Nothobranchius furzeri: one gene and its partners. The protein of the gene in region 1 binds, or shares a complex with, the protein of each later gene. Links are inferred from orthologs where the notes say so. Each region holds a gene or a part of one and is shown in the gene's direction. Other genes may lie near its edges. The genes, in order: dpm2, dpm1 and phosphatidylinositol N-acetylglucosaminyltransferase subunit Y.

Evidence for each region.
Region 2: dpm2 (region 1) and dpm1 share a complex: the UniProt entries of both Homo sapiens proteins name them as parts of the dolichol-phosphate mannose (DPM) synthase complex. The link is inferred for Nothobranchius furzeri from reciprocal best matches to the Homo sapiens genes DPM2 and DPM1.
Region 3: dpm2 (region 1) and phosphatidylinositol N-acetylglucosaminyltransferase subunit Y share a complex: the UniProt entries of both Homo sapiens proteins name them as parts of the glycosylphosphatidylinositol-N-acetylglucosaminyltransferase (GPI-GnT) complex. The link is inferred for Nothobranchius furzeri from reciprocal best matches to the Homo sapiens genes DPM2 and PIGY.

What each region holds. Positions count from the first base shown.
Region 1 is NC_091746.1:70,779,933-70,782,324, reverse strand, and holds the end of dpm2 (dolichol phosphate-mannose biosynthesis regulatory protein), read left to right. Parts: intron 1-740; coding exon 741-830; intron 831-957; coding exon 958-1,060; intron 1,061-1,180; coding exon 1,181-1,236; 3' UTR 1,237-1,796; downstream 1,797-2,392. UniProt on the Homo sapiens protein: Regulates the biosynthesis of dolichol phosphate-mannose. Regulatory subunit of the dolichol-phosphate mannose (DPM) synthase complex; essential for the ER localization and stable expression of DPM1.
Region 2 is NC_091755.1:48,132,863-48,136,628, reverse strand, and holds the start of dpm1 (dolichol-phosphate mannosyltransferase subunit 1), read left to right. Parts: upstream 1-1,265; 5' UTR 1,266-1,383; coding exon 1,384-1,514; intron 1,515-2,232; coding exon 2,233-2,332; intron 2,333-2,498; coding exon 2,499-2,532; intron 2,533-2,606; coding exon 2,607-2,683; intron 2,684-2,854; coding exon 2,855-2,880; intron 2,881-3,025; coding exon 3,026-3,121; intron 3,122-3,210; coding exon 3,211-3,279; intron 3,280-3,368; coding exon 3,369-3,483; intron 3,484-3,595; coding exon 3,596-3,700; 3' UTR 3,701-3,766. UniProt on the Homo sapiens protein: Transfers mannose from GDP-mannose to dolichol monophosphate to form dolichol phosphate mannose (Dol-P-Man) which is the mannosyl donor in pathways leading to N-glycosylation, glycosyl phosphatidylinositol membrane anchoring, and O-mannosylation of proteins; catalytic subunit of the dolichol-phosphate mannose (DPM) synthase complex.
Region 3 is NC_091744.1:85,184,377-85,186,708, reverse strand, and holds phosphatidylinositol N-acetylglucosaminyltransferase subunit Y, read left to right. Parts: upstream 1-1,291; coding exon 1,292-1,504; 3' UTR 1,505-1,800; downstream 1,801-2,332. Other genes in the region: pyurf (protein preY, mitochondrial), read left to right, coding at 1,058-1,199; triadin, read right to left, coding at 2,040-2,174. UniProt on the Homo sapiens protein: Part of the glycosylphosphatidylinositol-N-acetylglucosaminyltransferase (GPI-GnT) complex that catalyzes the transfer of N-acetylglucosamine from UDP-N-acetylglucosamine to phosphatidylinositol and participates in the first step of GPI biosynthesis.

The sequences.
Region 1 (2,392 bases):
TAAAAACATCACCAGTGCTGCAGGAGTCATCGTGAGCCGAGCCGGTATCGGCCCTTCAAACTAGAATCGGTGCAGCCCTTATTTGTTTTATTTGTTTGGGGTTATGGTTTACCAAAATAAATGTCATATCTGTGATTTATTGTATTTACAACAACGGAAGTGACACATCAGAGCTTTCTGGTTAATTTGTTTACATTTTCATAACAAACAAAATCAAGAATCAGCAGATTTGAACTAAAGTCTTGTGTTCAAAGTTTGAATGGAGTTTTTAAATGAACGGCATCAGAAACATGATTAAATAAGACATTAGGCCAAACCAAGAAATGCACCAGTCCTTCAGTAGTTTATTTTGGGTGATTACACTTTTTTTCTATTTAAAATATATTTATTATATATTAATAGATAATATATTTATAGATATAAACTACATAAATAAATGATATAAAATTAAAAAATAAAATAATACTTAAAAGAATAAACTTTGAGTCATTCCCAGAACCACCGTACCGATGCCGGATCCTGCAGCTTTTTATAAGACTGTATTTAATTCACACACACACACACACACACACACACACACACACACACACACACACACACACACACACACACACACACACACACACACACACACACACACACACACGCGCGCACACAAACACCTCACTGTTTATCTCTGATTCTTCCTGTTGATGATCAGGAAGCTGGATCTTGATCCCAGGCTGCATTTGTGCTTCCAGGCGTCGGGAGCAGATCAGGCGGTCGGGATGAGTCTCGTTGTTTTCAGCCTCCTGTTGTTCTCCTACTACACTGTTTGGGTCATCGTTCTGGTGGGTTCTGTTGGGTGTTTGCAGCTAACATTTCTCTAAATGAAACATCTTCCATGTCCTCATCTTGAGTTCTGTATCTGATCATGTGACTTGAGCTTCATTAGGTCACCTTTGTGTTACTTTCCAGCCTTTTGTAGACTCGGATCACCCCCTGCACAGATGTTTCCTTCCTCGGGAATATTCTGTGATCCTACCAGGTGTTGCTGCAGTAATCTTTGTCCTCTTTGTTGGTCAGTATCTTCACTCATAAACTTCTTCATTAAAACATTCTGTTTATTTTCTGTCGCATGAATATGGGATGTTGATGTTTTCCGTGGATGAGAGGAGATGACTCTGTGCTTCCTCTGCAGGAGCCTTCACTACCTTCATCATGTGGAAGGACCACAAACCAAAGAAAGTGGCCTAAGGAGGATTGAACCCCTTAAAGGTTATTCCTGCTGGCGGCGACACCAGAACCACCAGCTCATACTTTTGTTCTGCACAATAGACTTTTTCCTGCAGTTATAAACAACATGTTCTTCTGCAAAGAAGAGAAATGTCCCTTTGATGCCCTTCCGCTTCAGACGTCATTTATAGCGCGTTGGCGCCACCTAGTGGCCCAGCTCGTACTACACGATGGAGAAAACGTTCTGCAGATTCAGACTTGGTTCTATTCAGGTCTCAGAGGACTTCACTAGAACCAGACCGGTTCTATAAGATCACACCTGCTGCAGCAGAGAACCAGAGGTCACATGTCTAGATGATGTCAACATTCACCTGATTTAACCAGATTTTATTTGAATGTTTAGAAAGAGTAAATGTTTAAATGGAGCCTGTTTGAATCCGTTTCACATCCAGATGTGTTCACTCAAAGCAGACCGACTGACATCTGAGTGCTGAAATCCAGCTGTTCTGGTGTTTTACTGCAGCTGGAGTTCCCGGATGATCGTTTTTCTAAAATAAAACTAAAATGTTTTCTGCTTTGGATCTGCGCTCGTTTCTAACTCACAGACATGATGATGATAGAAAAGAGTTCAGAACCCGGAACCAGGATCTCCTCCAGGCCTGGGCCTGATCTGGACCTGCACCAGGCTCAGCCTCAGCTTGACCAATCAGTGCCTGTGTGGGGGGGTGGGGGGTGTAGAAGCTTCCGGAGCCTCCAGCTGGACCAAACTGTTGTCAGCTATTCATCGTTCTGCACCATCACTGCATGACGTTGCAGAACCGGTTCCTGCAAGTGGTTCGGTCCGTTTCGGTGGTTCGGTCCGTGCGTGTCACCGGGTGGGACCCGGTCCGTGGTGCGACCAGGCTCCGCGCGGACATGTGAGTCAGAGACCCGAACCCACCGAGCCGGCTCCGAGCTGCGGTCCGTTCTGAGGTGAGTTCTGGTGATGATGATGATGATGAAGATCTGCGGCTCGCCTCTTTGATCTGGAGTAAACTTTATTTAGTTTCAACAGAATCAGGTTTATTACCAGAACATCCATCAGAGGCTCAGGAGTTCACTAGAATGGATGGGTTGCTGGTTCGAACCCAGGCGCCGTTATATCAGCCGTTGTGTCCTTGGGCAGGACCTGTACCTC
Region 2 (3,766 bases), on another chromosome or scaffold:
TCCAGAAGATCCACATTATGGCCACCAGCCCTGGAGAAAACAAGCAGGCAGCAGTGACACCATGAGACACTGGTGGTCCTTTAGAGCAGAACTAAACAGAGATTACATCTGCAAAAGTGACCACTGGAGACCTTCATCATCTTGAACTAACCCTTGGATGATGCCGAAACTTTACCTTAAAAACTGTTCAACCATAAGGGGAATCTTGGTTTGTGTACTTTTTGTTTTAAAACTCCAAAGACAGGATTTTAAGTCCAGAAATGTTTTTGTATTAAGTACAGCTTTTGGTATTGATCAAAACAAAAATGCTGTTCCCAGAGGGATCAGTAAAGTACCTTATTGTTTAACAATCTAGCACTGAAATCGTGTATGTATACTTTGTTATGTTTATGCACTGTATTAAGGAAAAAGTCAAGCCTTTTGTGTCTTTTATGAATTTTATTTGCATTTTAACCTAAACTGCCTCAAAGATAAAGAATAAGTGTATTCCATGGTGTAAAATGTTCTTTTTATTCCATGGTATAAATGATACTGTGAGAATTTTGTTTTGTATAGTTTATATTTATTATTTGGCATATCCATTTTATTGTTATATACTATCTACTATGTATTCCAAGTAGTTATTTCTGTTTACAATTTTGTGGTTTCTTGGTGTTGGCATATGTGTTGAGAGTAAAAATGTCACGTTATCTCCAATGTTTTTGTGTATTTTTAAATAAAATGTTTATGAATTCGTTGTGTGTTAGTCTTTTGGAACATCACTATATTTATTGTGTTGTTTACATTTTTCTGTGTATTTCTTATGGTTTATTTATTTATTTAAAGACGTTTTCAAGGTAAGTGACCGCGCTGAAAACTGTTGTCGGAACCATGATGGAGGAATTGGTTTCTAGGTGTGTTTATTTTGGAAAGTACAACAGGAAGTTCAAATAAGCCAAGGCGATGTTCAAGACTAATTTCAGCGTAAACGTTCGCATTTTATGACAAACGTAATCCCGAAGAATACTGTCCTTCCACATACCCAGAAAGTGTTCAAGTACATGAGTGAAAAACACTTTTTCATTGATCTATAATAATTTATTTGTACAGCCCAAGTATTCCTCTGGTTAACTAGTTACTTGATTTAGACATTATTAAAATATATATATTATATAAATATTGAAATGTAGTATTACCACTGAGCCAAGTACAGTTGCTTACTTTTTGCAAAACTAGAATGACAATGTAAGTTGTGTGTGTGTGGGTGGTGGTGGTGGTGGGGGGGTCTTCCGACAGGACGAAATTCAAACTGACCTTTATTTTGAAATACGACAACAGGAAATTGTACAGCACTTCTTTTAACTTCTCAACTAGCTTATAGTATTTTGAGCTTTCGCGTCTGCTATGGCTAGTCGAAAATCTTCGCAACCAAAGCGAGAGAGCCGGGACAAATACTCTGTATTATTACCCACGTACAACGAAAGAGAAAACCTGCCTCTGATAGTGTGGCTTTTGTTGAAATATTTCGGAGAAGGGTGAGTTTTTTTAAGCGTGCAAAGATGCGTGGCTAATGATAACTCTTGTTAGCGTCTGCTAGCGATGAGTTGTCACTTGTGTCATCGACGCTGATTTGGTAGTAGAGACACATTAAATCTGGATTATACTGTTAATTTAGTAGTTGCCTTCTAAGACGCATTTTAAATTTTGTTCTGAGTTTTTATTCGTTTTATAATGCTGCAGAAACCGACGATTTCCAGTATTTTTTCTTTCATTATAAATGTAGGTGAAAACTAAGACCTGGATTTACTTATCCTGAAATAAATATAAAGAATAATTGTACACACACACACACACACATATATATATATATATATATATATATATATATATATATATATATATATATATATATACATGCATGCATGCATGTATATATATATGCATATATGCATATATATATATATATGTATATGTATGTGTATATATATTACATATATATGTATGTGTATATATATGTATATGTGTGTGTAACAGTTAATTGCGTCTTTAAAAGGTAACTTGAACGGATTCATCTCTTGTGATTACATTCCTAAAACGTTTGTGAAATAATATTTAATGTTTTTAATAAATGAATTAATAAATTGATAAATGAAAAATAATTTTTGTCATTTTAAGTGAAATAGTTTTTTATATGTCTAAAGATTGATTTACAGTAATCTCTGTCGGCATGATAGTAATGCTTATTTCTCACAGTGGATATGACTATGAGATTATTATCATTGATGACGGAAGCCCAGATGGGACACTGGAGGTTGCAGAGCAGTTGCAGAAAATTTACGGAAAGGACAAAATAGTAAGTTAAGACTGATCTCTCAGCATGAACAAGATAAATTCACATTAAAGTTGCACCACATATACTGTGTAAAATAATTAAAAAGTAATTTGTTTGTTTTTTTTATCACAAAACTTTACAGTGATAATCAACAGTCATTAATTGTTAAATCCTTCTAATTTTTCAGGTTCTGCGACCAAGGGAGAAAAAATTAGGCCTTGGTAAGTTGGTAAAATTATTGCATTTCCTTTATAAACATTACCAGTGGATGTAATCATCCCTTCATGTTTTAAAGGCACAGCCTACATCCATGGCATGAAGCATGCCACTGGGAACTTCATCATCATCATGGATGCAGATCTTTCCCATCACGTGAGTCGATGCACGAGTGTATTTGATGTATAAAATATCTTAGAAACAAGACATCTTTTGAGTATCTTGTCTGGAAAAACACAAATGGCTAGTAAAGTCCAATTGAGTATTTATTTATTTATTTATTTTGTTGCACTGCTGTGTATTTTATTCGTCTTTATTTTATTTCAGCCCAAGTTTATTCCTGAATTTATTGAGTAAGTATAATTGTTTTTTATGTTATGAGTTGGTGCGTTTATAAAGACTCGCAACATTTCTGATTATCAGGGTAACTTTCATCCATGTGTGACGAGTCGGATTATTCTAGCATGTTTTAGGTAAAGTATCGTATTTCATTCACAGAAAGCAGAAGGAAGGTGGTTATGACCTTGTGTCTGGTACTCGCTATCAGGGCAATGGAGGTGTCTACGGCTGGGACCTGCGCAGGAAACTCATCAGGTAACGGCCAGTGAGCAGAACTTGGTCACCAGTGTCCGCTCTCCTACGCTCGATGAAAACGAGATTTGTTTTTCTCTCCTGTGTCTTAGTCGAGGTGCTAACTTTTTGACTCAGGTTTTGTTGAGACCCGGCGCTTCGGACCTCACGGGCAGCTTCAGGTAACTGATGCAAGAGGTTTGAATCGTCATTGACTAGAAAACTGAACCGTTTCCTCACTTTTGTGCTTTTTTCCCTACGCTTTTGGAAGGTTATACAAGAAAAATGTGCTGGAGAGTCTGGTGGAGCGGTGTGTGTCTAAAGGTTACGTGTTCCAGATGGAGATGATCGTCCGAGCCAGACAGCTCAACTACACAATTGGAGAGGTGTTGACCTACCACGCTGTTGGGTTCTTTGAATATTTGTACTTTGTATGAGTTCTTCTCAACGTTTCCGCTGAAATTAAACTAAGGTTTATTTTCTCCTCGTCGTTCGCAGGTTCCTATTTCCTTTGTGGATCGGGTTTATGGAGAGTCAAAACTGGGAGGGAATGAGATCGTGTCATTTGTGAGAGGACTGCTCACACTCTTCGCCACGACGTGATCAGCGATGTTCAGAGCTTCTGGGAGCTTTTTTTTTTCCTCGTTCCACAAGTTTGTCTTTAAAACA
Region 3 (2,332 bases), on another chromosome or scaffold:
TCTTCGACAGACGTTGGTTCGCCCGGTCAGCGACACTGCAGCTTTTAGCACATTTCGCAAGATCTGATCATTATTTTTAGGATTTAAATAAAAAATGAAGTGATTTCTTTCAAAAGCTGCCAGGTTAATTGATTTTAATACCCAAAACCATTCCTAAATGGTGTTGCTAACTAAGCCAGACCATTGAGACACAGCAGTTTTTAACACCTTTCATACTAACTGATCTTTTTTATTAGGATTTTTATCAAAAATTAAGGGATTTCTTTCACTGGCTTAGTAACATCATTGGGAAATTGTTTTGGGCGTTTACATCAATTAAACAAGGATGTACTATGTTTGAATACATCCTACTTAAGAATTAGTCAAAGCTGCATTAGAGGCAGTGTAAAGGTGAAATCTACCCCCCCCCCCCCCCCACACACACACACACACACACACACACACACACACCGTCGTTGTCTTCCTCCGCTTATCCGGGTCGCGGGGGCAGCAAGAACCTACCCAGCGAGAGCTGAAGGTCAGAGCTGGATGAAGCTAGGAGGACCACATCATCCGCAAAAAGCAGAGACGAGATTCTCCTGCCTCCAAACTCGACACACTCCACACCACGACTGGCTCCGGCCACCTTGCGACCACAGCTAGCAACAGCCGCCTTAACAATCGCAGAGTGGAACAAGGCCCACTCGGAGTCAATGTCCCCCACTGGTCTCGGGACGCGGTCAAAGCTCTGCCGGAGGTGGGAGTTGAAGACCGTCTTGACAGGTTCTTCTGCCAGGCGTTCCCAGCAGACCCTCACTATGCGTTTGGGTCTGCCAGGTCTACGCGACATCTTCCCCTGCCATCTGATCTAACTCCCCACCAGGTGGTGATCAGTTGACAGCTCCGCTCCTCTCTTCACTCTGGTGTCCAAAACACACGGCCGCAGGTCGGATGATACGACTTCAAAGTCTATCATCGACCTGCGACCTAGGCATTCATTATTAGAAATGACTGAACCAACGCATAAAACAGTCTAATCTGTTTTCCAGATAACTGATGTTCTTTTTCTTTCCTCTAGGTATGATGCCAATACCAACGAGCTGATCAATGAGGAGCTTGGCATCGCCTATCCCATCATCGACGGCATCCCCAACATGATCCCCCAGGAGGCCAGACTCCTTCAGAAGGACACAGACGCTTCTAATCCACCTGCACAGTAACAGAAAGTCTATCAAAGACCTTCATTTGCCAGAAAACCGATTGAGCACTGCTATTTTTTTAAAGAAAAAAACTGTAAAGCTAATCTGCTAGAATGCTCTCCTTGTCCGTGATGGTGGGACTGGTCCCCATCGTGTCACTCATTGGCTTGTTCTACTCTGCAGCCGTGGATGAGAACTTCCCTCAAGGCTGCACCAGCGGCAACAGTCTGTGCTTCTACAGCCTGCTGCTGCCGGTCACCATCCCCGTCTACGTCTTCTTCCATCTCTGGAGCTGGATGGGGATCAAGCTCTTCAGACACAACTAGGATGCTCTCTGAAAACAACCCACGGCATGTTTTCTGATGCACTTTTACCTCCTTTACCAACTTCAGTAACATTATTTTCTTTATTTCATGTCTGTTAAAGTCTGCTAGACTTGGGTTTTACTTGTCTGGAAGTTTAGGCTTGCAGGTAGGACTCATAGTAACCGAGTCCGTGTAAACGCTAACTGCTACTGAACAAACTCCTGTTATAAAATGGATAAATGTAACCGATTTAACAACTGAACTTCTTGGATTTTTCCAGTTCTTGCAGAAAAGAATAAACAACTTTATTGGAATAAGTTACTTTTATTTGATAAAAACATTTTCACACAGAACAGCTATTTAATGTCTGTTTTATGAAATGTGAACGTACTTCAGGGAGGAACAATCCAGCAAACATGCCTGTACTTCAAACACAAACTATCATCTTTTCATGCAAAACAAAACAAGTTTTAAAAAAGCTCGAACTTTTAAGCCTTTGACCCAAAATGCTCCGAAACAAACAAGAACAGCTTTCATCGTACGTTCACGTCCTTCCTTAGTGACACTTTTTGCTTTTAGGGTTTCTGCCCTGAGAAAATTTGGTCAGCGGAGACTCCGGCCGAGGCGACTGCCATTCTCCTTTTGTCTTGAAGAAGAAGGGTTTGTTTAGTCTCAGCTGGACCGCTCCGACCTGGGGGGGGGGGGAGGCTCTCTGTTAAACAGTGACACTTGTAAAAAGAACCACAGTCTGATAAAAGCATGAGAGGTTTGTGATACGTAGCATATGATTCAGGGCTGTCCAACTCGGACCCTTTAGATCTACCTATTGGGCCATTCCCATCTGTACCG